Linked DNA regions of Danio rerio. The protein of the gene in region 4 binds, or shares a complex with, the protein of the main gene of each other region. Links are inferred from orthologs where the notes say so. Each region holds a gene or a part of one and is shown on either strand. Other genes may lie near its edges.

Region 1 (2,601 bases), on a different chromosome or scaffold from region 4:
CCAGCACAATGCACAGCTGATCCAGAAACAAAGCTTTCCAGCACTTAGCCTGACCTCTAGGGACAGTATAAAGACAGACTGCATGTTTACCACCCATGTATTCCCACAGATGCCTGCAGCCAGAAGCAGGTGGCATTATAAAATAACAACCAAGGCAAAACATTGCTGCCTTAGGCTGATTTTCCAGATCAGCCATTATTAACCGCATTACACCTTTACAAACTCACTGAGCTTTCATCTGTGGCTAGTGAAGATTTCACATGGTGCTAAAAGGGAAAAAACAACAACATGAACAGCACTTGATTATCATGTGTCATTACCAGACCTGGGACACTACAGGCTTTCCAAAGAACCCAGTAAAAAGGGACTAGCAAACATATGCAAAACAGTTTTTTTGCATCCTAAATGTAATGCTGTCCACATTGTTAGCATGCTGGACGAGTCTGTCATTTACATTCATGATCATTGAAAGTGAAACAAAACAAACTGCAGATATGCACAATAATGCAACTTAAAAAAGGAATTTGAGACATTTTTCTTTCAATTTAATGTGACTTTCTTCAAAGTCAGACATTTCTGCAGGGTCCAACAATGTCAAACACAACTTAGGTTACAAAAAATAAGCAACAAAAAAAAAGAGAGAGATGAAAACAGACTTCGGATTTGTTCTCATGTGTACAGTGGAGCTCTCAAGCACTGCCACAATGCTCAGATGAACAGAGAGAGCAGTTTTACTTTATGGATCATGCACACAAGAGGACAAACACGCTGGGGTCTGCCGTCCATGCAAACAAAACTCTCGAAAAAAGTCCCGCGAAGGTTAAGAGAGAATCTATAGGCTAACTCGTACATTATTAACTCAGAACGGCAAATAAGCTTTTCATTTTTTTTTCATCATGACTGTAAAAGCAACACAGAAGGTGAGGGGTGTGGGGACTAAAAAAAGTTTTGTTTGGAACATTTCTTCTTGACAGTATTTAAGTGGTAAGGGTCAAAATCTGATGGAGAAACTTCAGCTGCTCACTCATTTCTATATCATAAAACACTTCAGCAATAAACATGCCAAAATAAAAATAAAAAAACAATTCCAAAACAAATGAAAAAAAAAAAAGTCTAGGGTGAATTTTAACAATTTGTACATTCTAAAGCTGAACCAACATCAAACATTTAAAATGCAGAGAGTGGAAGAGAAAAAGGGAAATGTGGGGTGCAGGAGAGATGCCCTCAGGACTGAGACGATGGAGACATCTGGGCCTTCCTCATTGAGCGGAGAGCTTTCTCACGTAGGTGCTTCTCCAGATCATCCAAACTGTCTTCTACTTCACTCTCTGATTCCTTCAAGAAAGGTAGCATTAATTATGTCTGACTCAAACATAAGTAGTATATTTAGATTTTACATTAGAGACAATACCTAACTCGTAAATTAGGGCTGGGTGATATGGCCATTTTAAAAAATCCCTGATTTTCACAAAAACTCAAATTTACGATTTAAATAATCCCCCCCCCCCCCCCCCATAAAAAAATGCATAAAGTACTAACATACACTCCCCAGCCACTTTATTAGGTACACATCCAAATACTCATTGCAAAATTCTAATCAGCCAATGACATGGCAGCAACTCAATGCATTTAGGCGTGTTGACATGGTCAAGACAATCTGCTGCAGTTAAAACTGTGCATCAGAATGGGGAAGAAAGAAGATTTAAGTGCCTTTGAAAATGCCATGGTTGTTGGTGCCAGATGGGCTAGTCTGAGTTTTTCAGAAACTGCTGATCTACTGGGATTTTCACACACAACCACCTCTATGGTTCCACTGAGCGGCAGTTCTGTGAGCGCAAATGAATTGTTGATGCCACAGGTCAGAGGAGAATGGCCAGACTGGTTCCAGCTGAAAGGCAACAGTAACTCAAATAACCACTCGGTACAACCGATGTATGCAGAAGAGCATCTCTGAACACATCGAACCTTGAGGCAGATGGGCTACAGCAGCAGAAGACCACACCGGGTGTCCTGTCAGCTAAGAACAGGAAACTGAGGCTACAATTCGCAGAGTTTCACCAAAATTGGACAATAAAAGATTAGAGAAATGTTGCCTGGTCTGAAGAGTCTTGATTTCTGCTGCAACAGTCAGATGATAGTGTCAGACATTGGTGTCAACAACATGAAACCATAGATTTATCTTGCCTTGTATCAATGGATCAGGCTCGTGGTCGTGGTATAATGGTGCGGGGGATAATTTCTAGGCACACTTTATGCCCATTGGTACCAATTGAGCATGGTGTTAACGCCACAGCCTACCCGAGTATTGTTGCTAACCATGTACATTCCTTTATGACCACAGTGTACCCATCTTTGTATGGCTACTTCCAGCAGGATAACACGCCATGTCAAAGCACGAACCATCTCAGACTGCTTTCTTGAACATGACAATGAGTTCAGTGTACTCAAATGGCTGGCACCTGAAAGATTACTCTAGCCTAGTGCACTGAGCAAGTCTGACAGTGTTGATATTTACAGTAATGAACATCTTTACAGCTGGGTCACATCATTTATCCGAAAACAGCAACGTTGGATTCCAACATTAGATGGGTAACAGTCATA
Region 2 (4,057 bases), on a different chromosome or scaffold from region 4:
TGTTTGATTTTCGGAACACAAATAAAGATATTTTACATGAAATCTGAGAGCACCCTCATCCTCCATAGACAAGAGACGTTCAAAGTCCAGAAAAGGATCCAAAAACAATCCATGTGACTTTCAAGGTTTCCTGCGGTTTGGAAAAGTCAGGGTTTTAAAACCGCTAACATTTTCTGTTACACTGTGGTATATGTACATTGTTTAAACATGTTTTTTACAACATGTTTTTTTATTTTATTTAGTTTTTTTAGGGCAACAGCTACTGGTCAGCCCATGGTTTAGGGAACATCTGAAAAACAAAATGCTTAAGCACCAAAACATCCAGGCATGCTCTGGACCTGAACAGTGCTGTGGCTTACTTTATATCCAAAGAAGAGAAAGATGAATGTCTTTTTCATTTTTTTTTAAAGAAATATGTGTTTTCGAAACTATTGACTTCTGCTGTCTTCAATAAATTCTTTAGCCTGTCATGTTTACTGTTCCAAAATATGCTTCTTAAAATAAAATATATTGTGTTCAATGGGAACAATAATAGTTTTTTTTTTACCCAGACATTTTAAAAGAATATTTTTGAGCAGTAATCACAATACTGTGAAACTCTGATATTTTTATCCAAGGTTATCATACCGTCAGAATCTTATACCGGCCCATGCCTAGTAAACGCGCACCCTGACCTGTCATGTATACAAAAAATAAAGTATTCTTTCATGTATTTACAGTTTTTTACAAGTGTTTTGGGAGCTCTACATGATTACACATCAGAACACTAAAGTCCCATGCAATGTTTTTGGTTTCTGGACTTTTGAACATCTTTGAAATCTCACTGTCCATGGAGGATGAGAGAGATGTCAGATTTAATCTAAAACATTTTCATTTGTGTTCAGAAGATAAACAAAGGCCTCTTAAATACAGCCGCCAATCCAAGCACCAATCACAATCTGCCGTAATCCGCTGCACCTGGAAATAATTCAGACCGAGAGAGTGCAGGAAAGAGGGAGAGGAAACAAGAGAAAGAAAAACTCGTAACAACACTGACTCACCTGACCATGCCAGAGGAGGCATTGCCCATAGTGGAATCTTTGGGTTTAATGAATTTGTGATAGTTGTTGATCCCACGATAAATCTTATCATCTTCTTTACCAGTCAGCTCCTATAAATTACACACAAACACGCAGCCATATGATTAAGAGATTGTGTATATTCTGGCCATCTTAACAATATCAACAATCAAATATCATGACATGAAATGACCCCGCTCCTTAGATGCTGGTTTATTCTTCTGCATTGAGCGCAGACTTTGAGCAATCGCATACTCCTCGCCGTGGCTGACGCGCACCTCTCAAAAAATGTCACTACTTGACGATACGTAGCGCAAGCTCTGCGGTTGGTCAGCTTGATAGTGATGACAAGAGTGGGCAGCGCGGAGAGCAACGAAAAAAAGAAGACTGTTGGTTTTAGGCAATGTGTGTTTTCATTTCAGTTGTTCAACGCTGATGTTCAATAAATAATCATAGATAGTAGATAGTTTGCGTTTCCTTCAATTATTTTAAAATCAAGTAATGCACCCTTTTCAAACATCTCTCACTTTACGAAACCTGTCAGTTAACTATGAGGGCAAAAACAAATGAAATAATCAATCATTAGTTGTAATCGGGTTAAAATGTTTAGTTAATCAAGATTTAGATTTGAGGCCAAATCGCCCAGGCCTATTATAAAGGCTATTTATTTTCTAAAATGAATTGATTCTGCTGTGCTTGAAAGCACTGAGTGAGGTATCTAAATAACTGAACTGACATGACATGACACGCTACTATATCACCTTCTGTAGAGCTGTTGTCTACTTGAAATATGTGTAAATACAATTGAAAATGCTGAGTTTAATGTTATCTAAATCTAGAACTGTAAAGGTACTTTGAATCTGTACATAACATACATAAACCTGACTTTACAATGATGCAGCCAGTTATTTCCAATCACCCGCATACCTCTTGGATTTTCTGACTGCGCTCAAAGATGGCCTGAGCATCTTTGTCCCTCTCTGTGTCCAGCTCATAGACAGCAGTGGCCCCCATGTCATCCGGCCCCTCTGGTTTCTGCAACACATAGTCAAATACACTCAATTACAGCCTTTAATGTTTCAATGAGACAGCGCAAAAACTGTCAGACGTTAATAGAAATGTAAAGTCATACGTGGTCATGAATTATTAGGCACCATCAAGCGTTTATATTCATAATTTGCTGTAGCATAAATCATGAAGCTGTACAAATGTTGGGTCAGTCAGACTCACCGCTGAGCGAGTGGACTTGTAAGCGACAGTCACGCTCTTTTCTTCCTTCTCTTCTTCACTTTCACTCGATGAGACAGCTTCCCTCTCCACTTTCTTCGTCTATAAAACGAATAATAAATATAATAATGATGACATCAGTTTAACAGCGGCTAGTTACATAAAACACATGAAATACGGACATACTTTCTGAATCATGGGGTTCACAGCGGCAGATTTCTTCTTTCTGACCACTGCACTGCCCTCATCGCCGCTGCTTTTTTCTGATGATAAAGAAACAAAACACTGAACTGCAGACATGTATTGAGCATAAACATTAATTAAACAGACGGCTTGTTGTAGGGATTATAGTTTCTCAAGTCAAACTCGCTGTCGATTGAGACACTGAAGAAAGAAGCACAACGTACCTTTGTCGCTGTCACTTGCATTTCTTTTCCGTGCGGAAAATTTCTTGTTTGATTTCTTAAAAATAAATGTGCAGGTGGGTTTTTTCGGCTCCTCGGACTCCGCCATCTTTAACTACGTATAAAAACAAACGATGAAGTCATTTTTTGGTTACAGCGCCTCTTGTGTTTGGGAAGAAACGTAGAATGGGAATGGTTTACTGCTGTTGTATTTGATATGAATATATTCCCATTTAACAATTGATAATGTACATATCTTTACTATTATTATTAATCAGTAACTAGCAATATTCAGACAATATTTGGATGCATGCATTGAGCAAAATTAAGGATAAAGACGTTTTAAGGTATTTTATGGTGTACTTAAAGTAAAATTATGATTTAGAGTGAATTTTTTCCCATTATAAAGGTAAAGTCTAGTTAGGATACTGTGGATACGTACATCAACATAGCATAAGTTTTGTGACACTGTATAACAATAAATAATATTTTACAGTACAAATTCCACACTGGCCACGCCCCTATCGTGAATGTACCACTAGACGTAAATGTGTCGTGAAACACCGCAGCGGTTTACGGCCTCGCGCCATTTTAAGAAAGGAACGACTCGTTCAACTGGGTGAGAACACACGTTGGGTATTGTGTGGACCGAAATACACACAAAAATACCGAGTGAATTAAAGAAATTCATGCACGAAGGTCTTCCACAGAAACACGCAAGAGGATTTTGGCCCGAAAATCGGAGATTTCGTTGGAGCCGAATGAAAAACTGAGGTAATTGACTGCAGGAGGCCGTCCGTGGAAATGTAGGCGATCTCGGATATGATCATCATGAGAGAGTTGGTGAATTAGCAGAGCTGACCGTAACCACGACTGAGCTTTGCTTTATTTTTGTGTATTAAAGAGTGCACTGATATTAGTTATTAGATGCGTCTCTTTTTGTTGATGCTACACTAACGTGATCTGATGCTGAAGTTGTAGTTTGTTTAATCATTATGTGGAGAATAAAAGTGTTTGTTTGCACGAAGCTAACCGAGAAAGCTAAGACTGCTAGCAGCTAACTTCACGAGACTCGTTTAAGGGGTGTTTGTTTACTGATCCAGATCTATGTGAAGACGCTGAATTTTCAGTTTGAATCTGTTAGCATGATTTTGTCTGCTTATTTAAATCCACCTTATCTTAAATAACGTCTTATTTACCATTTTCACACAGTAACTGCTTAACTTGCATGAGGTGCTCCTAATTGTTGATTATTTTTTTTATCGTTTGTGTTTTTTCTCTCTTCCAGGTGAACAATGACTCAGTTTCTTCCGCCGAACCTGTTGGCATTGTTTGCCCCGCGGGACCCCATACCGTTCCTGCCTCAAC
Region 3 (2,841 bases), on a different chromosome or scaffold from region 4:
ACCTATCCAAGTTTTAGGAACAACAAACAATAACTTGACTTCTAGCTGATCATTTGGTATCAGAAGTGGCTTATATGAAAGTCAAAGGCCTCTAGATTACACTTATTTTTACCAAAATACAATATGATAATTCCTTGATTTTTAATTATTTAATTAGGACAGGAAGGGTTTGACTTAGCTTAGACAAAAGTCTAGTCACTTAACAGCAATAACGTCCAGTATAGAATATAAAGTCATGGTGTAGTGGAAAAAGAATGAATATTGTTTTTGATTCCCATGAGCTTGGAGGACTGCATTCATTCATCTCTCCAAAGCCTCAAATAAGTTTATTAATAAATCATCTGGGATGTCAAAGAAAGCATTCTTGCAGGACTCCCAGAGTTCATCAAGATTCTTTGGATTCATCTTTAATGCCTCCTCCATCGTACCCCAGATATGCTCAATAATGTTCATATCTGGGGACTGGGCTGGCCAATCATGGGAGCCAAAAAAAGTCTGTGTTTGTGCACAGAGAAAATGAACATGTCATTATTTCATCATTTTATTGTGTATTTCTTAAAAACATTACAAATAGAGTTAAACAGGAAAATGAACTTATCGTCTATCATAAGACACAAAATTATTATAAAATGAAAAAAAAACGACAGCCCCTAAAGCTTTGGAAAACACCTTTAAGCAAACACAAATGTGAGTTGTGGAATTCCAGAGACAGTGTGCAGTTCATGATTTTGGGAAAGCATATTTTCTGTATGCACTACAACACTATAGCTCACTTGTGTTTTAAAGGCTATTTTCCTATATTATTTATTTGTTTGACAGGAAAAAAAACTAAGCTATTTAAAATAAAAAAGCTGAATATCAGACGTTGCGGAACATTTACTTTTGCAAAGTCTGTGCATGGTGTTCAAAAGTCCTGTCTAATGTTCTCCTTGTTCTCGTCGCCCTGCTGCTGCTTCATCTGCGCCACTTCATTCTCCAGCTGCACGATGGCGCGCTCGATCTCATAGTTCTTACTGACGAGAGACACCCAGCTGTGAAAACACGAGCAGAAATATGTGAGTCAACGAACTGACTACGACATTTTCTGGAACGAGTTGAACATAATGCAGTACTGACTTGGACTCAAGTTCTCTCAGTTTGGCTCCTCCAGCCAGCTGATCGTTTTTGCGCTGCCAGTTCAGGTCTTGTATTTCCTTTCTAAAAGAAAAACAAACACACTTAGGTTGAGTTAGAGTAGAGATTTATTATTTTTGAATCCATTCAGCCGATCTCTGCTGCGTAATATCATTGTGCAAGCTGCCAGACATGGTACCGCAGTAAAATGTCTTGATTATTACACCTTAATCAGAGTATTGTTCCCAGATATATGAGAATATCTCAACTTTTCATTTTCTGTTGGTCCAACTACATCACAGGTGTCAAACTCAGTTCCTGGAGGGCCACAGCGCTGCAGTTTAGCTTTAACCCTAATTGAACACACCTGATCAAACTAGTTGAGTCCTTCAAGCTTATTTGAAATCTAAAGGCTTGTTGAAACAGGGTTGGGAATAAGTGCAGAGCTGTGGCCCTCTAGGAATTGAGTTTGACATCCCTGAAGCACATGATAAAACTACAAAAGAGTCAAGCGTTAAATAGGAAAATGAACTAATCTCTTTGGTCATTTGAGCGAGATGCTAATGGTCTAATCCGATTCAATAATCTATGCTAAGCTAAGCTAAAAGTGCTCCCTCCAGACCAGAAGATTATCAGAATGGATTAAAACTCAACTGTTGAACTCTAGGAGGATTATTTTTAAATAGAGTGCTCCTTAAATATTACATTTGGAAGTCAATTAAACCACACATACAACATCCAAATAGTAAGTAAACTTAATAGACAGATAATGTGCTTACCTTACATTCTGCAGCTCTTTTTGTGAATTTTCAATCATCAAGGCCAAGTTACTGTGTCACAGAAAAGACGACCAGTTATGATCAGCATAATGAATAAAAGAGTAATATGTGCCTCTACCTGTTAAAATGATTGATGACTTACAGCCCTGCCTCTTCTAGGGCGGGATTTATGGTTTAAACCACACTCCTTTTAGGACAGGACTTTGTTTAAACCCCGCCCCTTTTCATGTAAACGTTGCACTTCCAGTAATTAGTTTTAAACAGTTTCATCAAATTAAATTATATATTATAATTCCGCTAATTAAATTGTAATCAAATTAATTAAATTATATTACTGCATCAATTAAATGATAGTTCCTGCAATATTCATCAAAATATTTAAATTATCACAACTGATATTATGATGTAATCAAAATAATTTATTCAATTCACCTATAGTGCATGTTTTTGGACTGTGGGGGAACCAGGGGGACCCGGAGGGAACCCACGCCAACATGGAGAGAACATGCAAACTCCACACAGAAATGCCAACTGACCCAGTCGGGGCTCACACCAGAGACCTTCCTGCTGCGAATAGACAGTGCTAACCACTGAGCTACCGTGCCACCCAGTAAACTATTAACTTAATTATATTTAATTTTGTTGTTTTGTATTATATTACAATTAATACTAATAAATATTAATACACTATATTAACACTATAAACATTTAAATTTCTGTTAAGCTGTAACTATTTTGTGTTTACCCTGTTTGTTCGATGTGTGCGTGTTAGGATGTGTGCGATGATCAGGAAAACATCCACTGACCATTTACAATACCCCAACAGCTGTTTGAGTAAGATAGATTGATATTAAATATAGATCACACATCTGTTGAGAGTGTGGTGTGTGTGTGTGTCTCCTGCTAAGTAGTATATGTTGTCAGGTGATTAGGAAGTGTGATATCTATA
Region 4 (3,600 bases):
AAACTTTTTATTTCATAAAAAAAAAGATGCACATTAAAAACGGTCATATGATTTTGTTATAAGGGATCATGTGATGATAAAAATGTGTGTAAATGGACAAACCAGCAGGCTCAGCACATTGTAAAACATATAAAATGTTGTTTTGGTCATTCTAAAACACCTTAAACGTTTCAGTATTAGTGTTATTATACAATTAATGACCTAAAGAACTATCAAGAGCGTCTGTGCTCAGCGTCTCACGGCTTTAAACGCCTCCGCACATTCACTGCGAATCGGCATACTGTCTTCTAAGGCGCAAGTAATTTATTAAATAAGGAAAAAATTGATGCAGCTTCTCCTACCGCAACAAATTCCATTTTTACTGTTGATATTTGGCACCAGTTAATCAGGAAGTGACAACTTTGTTCTCTTTGACTACTTGGATGGAAACGCTGCTTTATTCGTATGTCTTATATGGGATATTCCAGTTTTGCGCTTAGTTAATTAGCATTGAAATTATAAAAACTAAAGTAAAAAAAAGAAAATAAAAATGATTAATTAGTTTACAAAAAACTATTTTAAAATAACTTTAAATTGATTGTAAATTTAAAAAAAAGTATATATATATATATATATATATATATATATATATATATATATATATATATATATATATATATATATATATAATTATTGTTATTATAAAAAGTATAAATTTAATTTTTTACAATATATTATTATATTATATATATTATAATCATAGTTATTGTTGTTTTTTATATATATATATATATATATATATATATATATATATATATATATATATATATATATATATATATATATATATATATATATATAAACAGTGTTGCTTGTGATGTGCGTTTAGATAAAGACCCAGAAAATTGGACTGCAGAAGTTGATCCTTCCCTCTTCAGCTTTGAAATTTTAGTTTCTTTTCTTTACATTTATGAATCATTTCAATTAAAGAGCCCATATTATCCATAACAAAAGGTTATATTTTGTCAACATCGATACGAACAGGAAAAAGATCCAGATGAACGACAAATCATTTAAATGACTCCCGAGTCGAATCTTTTATTAAAAATCAGCTGGATATTTTCATTCACTAAGAGCTGTGTTGCACACTGCATGGAAGGTCATTTTATTCCCCCACAATAGTGACTTTTTAATTATTAATTGATTATATTTTAATTAAATTGATTTTCTGGTTTGGATCTTTATTTGGTTTTGTTACTTTATTCAAGCCTGGAGGCTGTAACACAATTACATCTAAATACAAACCCTAACTAAACTAATACATTAACTATAGCACATAACATTAATAATACATGTTAAACCTGAACACACAAAAGTAAAATCTGTTGCTGACCAGTGCATGTTGTGGGGGATGAGATCTCTCTGCTCCTCCTGCATGTCTGTGGATTTCTGCCACACTGGCTGCAGTTCGACTGGCTTCCTGCCTACAAAACAAACAATACCTCAGATTTAATTTACCCTTGAATGTGTCTTAATGATCTGATCACAAGTTAACAGCACCAAATACAGGTTCACTACAGGGTCCATGATGTTGCTGGTCAACGGACTAATTCCCCAAAAATATATTTAGGTGAACTAAGTCAAAATAACTTTTTTTTAGCACACAAAACAGTTTTTGAAGTCACAATAAATAATTTTACAATATTCTTGATTTTCTTTTTTTTGGACTTTAAATGTCTCATCATGACCCTTACTGTCTTTTAGAAGTTCTTCTCATGTATCTAAAATACTATATAAATATCTTGATTTGTGTTTCGAAGAGCCTCAAGGAATTGGAATGACATGAGGATAATTCAAAACAATTGCAATTTTTGGGTGAAATAATTCTGGTGAAAAACAACATTTTGAAATGAAAATAAAATAAATGTTTATACCTATCCATTTTTTTTTTTTACTTTTTTTTAATAATAAACCAATTCGTAACCAATTTCACATTATTACATTTATTAAATTCAATTTTAAACATTTAAAAGGGGTTCTTTCCTTAACTTACAGTCAGGCATGACTTACTGTCTAGAAATCAAAGTAACCATATGTAAATGCACGCAAAAAAAAAAAAAATGCTTTGTTATGATTTGGTTTTCTGAGGTCAACCAAAGAGAAGCTTTAATTTCTCATTGTGAAATTACAACAGTCATACATTGGTATTATAGAAATCTGTACAATTACTTTAAATCAAATTCGACAGTAATAACATTTATTATTTTGTTTACAATTTTCGTTTGAAAAAAAAAATTATACTATTTATAATAACAATAACTATGATTATAATTATTTCAGGCCAAATTGTGCAACCTAAATACAAAAGCATAAGTGTTGTCGTGCTGGTTTTAAATTTTTTAAAATGTTTTTTATGGCAAAAAATATATATATAATTTTTTTTTTTCTAAAAACATTTAATAGTAACTACAACAACCCATAAGGAAATACAATTCAGTACCTAGCTTGAGACGGAGGAAGAGCAAGGGCCATGGAGTGAACACCCATTTCACTGGGCATCTTCAGCATTTGTGTGTCTGCAGTGAGGACAACTCCTGAAAGCGTAATAATAAAAAAAAAAAAAAAATTATTAGGCCTCAAATAAATTGGTTGAAATGTTTAGCATCTAGGCTAAATAAGTAAAAAAATCCTGGTTCAACCTGGAGCAGATGGATAAGGGTGTGTTCCTGTCACCAAATATTCTGGAGTAGTGTCTGCACAAATGAAGTCAAACAGTTAATAGTTAATGAAATCTTTGAGAGGTTTATTAAAAAAACAAACTAAATGAAAATACTGATATAAAGAAAAAGCCAACAGGATTGGTTTATGAGCCATACCAGGCAGAGGGTACGCCGATTGGCCATATGGGTCAGAGGTGTGGAGAGAACCCTTTTCTCGGCCCTCCTTCAGCACAGGCATGTGTAAGACAGCTTTGTATTCGGCCCGCATCTTTGCTGCCATCTTCACCTTGAAGCTACAGACAAAACGTAAATAACATTAACAAAAGTAACAATTAATGTAACAATTTACACCATTTACTACTGGTTTATTAGCTTTCTATTATTGAGATATTACAATGTTTTAGCACTCATAAAGTTTGATCTTATTGTACATCCCTAATCCTACTCAAATACCTAAACCCAACTACTACCTTACTATTACAAAGCAGCTAATTAGTAGTTAGAGAGCTAAATGTCTTAGCTGATGGTTTGCTAATAGTGTAAATAGTACATTCAACTAAAGCAGAACCAAGTATTTATCAAGTTTTTTTTTTATTTTGTGGCAAAACATTGCTGAATAATTCTAAGCGAGTTTACAGCATAAGAAAGGTTTATACAAACATTAAAAGGGTGATCCACTACAATATCATATTTTAAACTTTAGTTAATGTGTAATGTAGCTGATGTAATGCGCTCAAAGTTCAATGCAAAGGGAAACATTGACTTTTACAGAGTAAGCCTAGCAAAGCCTATAGCGAACAAAAATTGGAGACTGCAAAAATTACATCCGGGTTAAGCAGAATTTATACTTTTGCCTGGCAACGCAGACCTCCGCTGACTGCACGCGCACCTCGCGAAACAG

Evidence for each region.
Region 1: plrg1 (region 4) and srrm1 share a complex: the UniProt entries of both Homo sapiens proteins name them as parts of the minor spliceosome. The link is inferred for Danio rerio from reciprocal best matches to the Homo sapiens genes PLRG1 and SRRM1.
Region 2: plrg1 (region 4) and rnf113a share a complex: the UniProt entries of both Homo sapiens proteins name them as parts of the minor spliceosome. The link is inferred for Danio rerio from reciprocal best matches to the Homo sapiens genes PLRG1 and RNF113A.
Region 3: plrg1 (region 4) and bcas2 share a complex: the UniProt entries of both Homo sapiens proteins name them as parts of the PRP19-CDC5L splicing complex. The link is inferred for Danio rerio from reciprocal best matches to the Homo sapiens genes PLRG1 and BCAS2.

What each region holds. Positions count from the first base shown.
Region 1 is NC_133192.1:26,834,289-26,836,889, reverse strand, and holds the end of srrm1 (serine/arginine repetitive matrix protein 1), read right to left. Parts: intron 1,336-2,601; coding exon 1,225-1,335; 3' UTR 524-1,224; downstream 1-523. UniProt on the Homo sapiens protein: Part of pre- and post-splicing multiprotein mRNP complexes. As a component of the minor spliceosome, involved in the splicing of U12-type introns in pre-mRNAs. Involved in numerous pre-mRNA processing events.
Region 2 is NC_133178.1:30,712,647-30,716,703, forward strand, and holds the start of rnf113a (E3 ubiquitin-protein ligase RNF113A), read right to left. Parts: upstream 2,801-4,057; 5' UTR 2,799-2,800; coding exon 2,693-2,798; intron 2,549-2,692; coding exon 2,472-2,548; intron 2,388-2,471; coding exon 2,289-2,387; intron 2,094-2,288; coding exon 1,986-2,093; intron 1,151-1,985; coding exon 1,041-1,150; intron 1-1,040. Other genes in the region: snrnp70 (U1 small nuclear ribonucleoprotein 70 kDa), read left to right, coding at 3,985-4,057. UniProt on the Homo sapiens protein: Required for pre-mRNA splicing as component of the spliceosome. As a component of the minor spliceosome, involved in the splicing of U12-type introns in pre-mRNAs. E3 ubiquitin-protein ligase that catalyzes the transfer of ubiquitin onto target proteins.
Region 3 is NC_133183.1:12,579,609-12,582,449, forward strand, and holds the end of bcas2 (pre-mRNA-splicing factor SPF27), read right to left. Parts: intron 1,944-2,841; coding exon 1,893-1,943; intron 1,198-1,892; coding exon 1,117-1,197; intron 1,032-1,116; coding exon 905-1,031; 3' UTR 529-904; downstream 1-528. UniProt on the Homo sapiens protein: Required for pre-mRNA splicing as component of the activated spliceosome. Component of the PRP19-CDC5L complex that forms an integral part of the spliceosome and is required for activating pre-mRNA splicing.
Region 4 is NC_133176.1:27,252,659-27,256,258, reverse strand, and holds part of plrg1 (pleiotropic regulator 1), read right to left. Parts: intron 2,993-3,600; coding exon 2,856-2,992; intron 2,733-2,855; coding exon 2,679-2,732; intron 2,574-2,678; coding exon 2,480-2,573; intron 1,464-2,479; coding exon 1,373-1,463; intron 1-1,372. UniProt on the Homo sapiens protein: Involved in pre-mRNA splicing as component of the spliceosome. Component of the PRP19-CDC5L complex that forms an integral part of the spliceosome and is required for activating pre-mRNA splicing.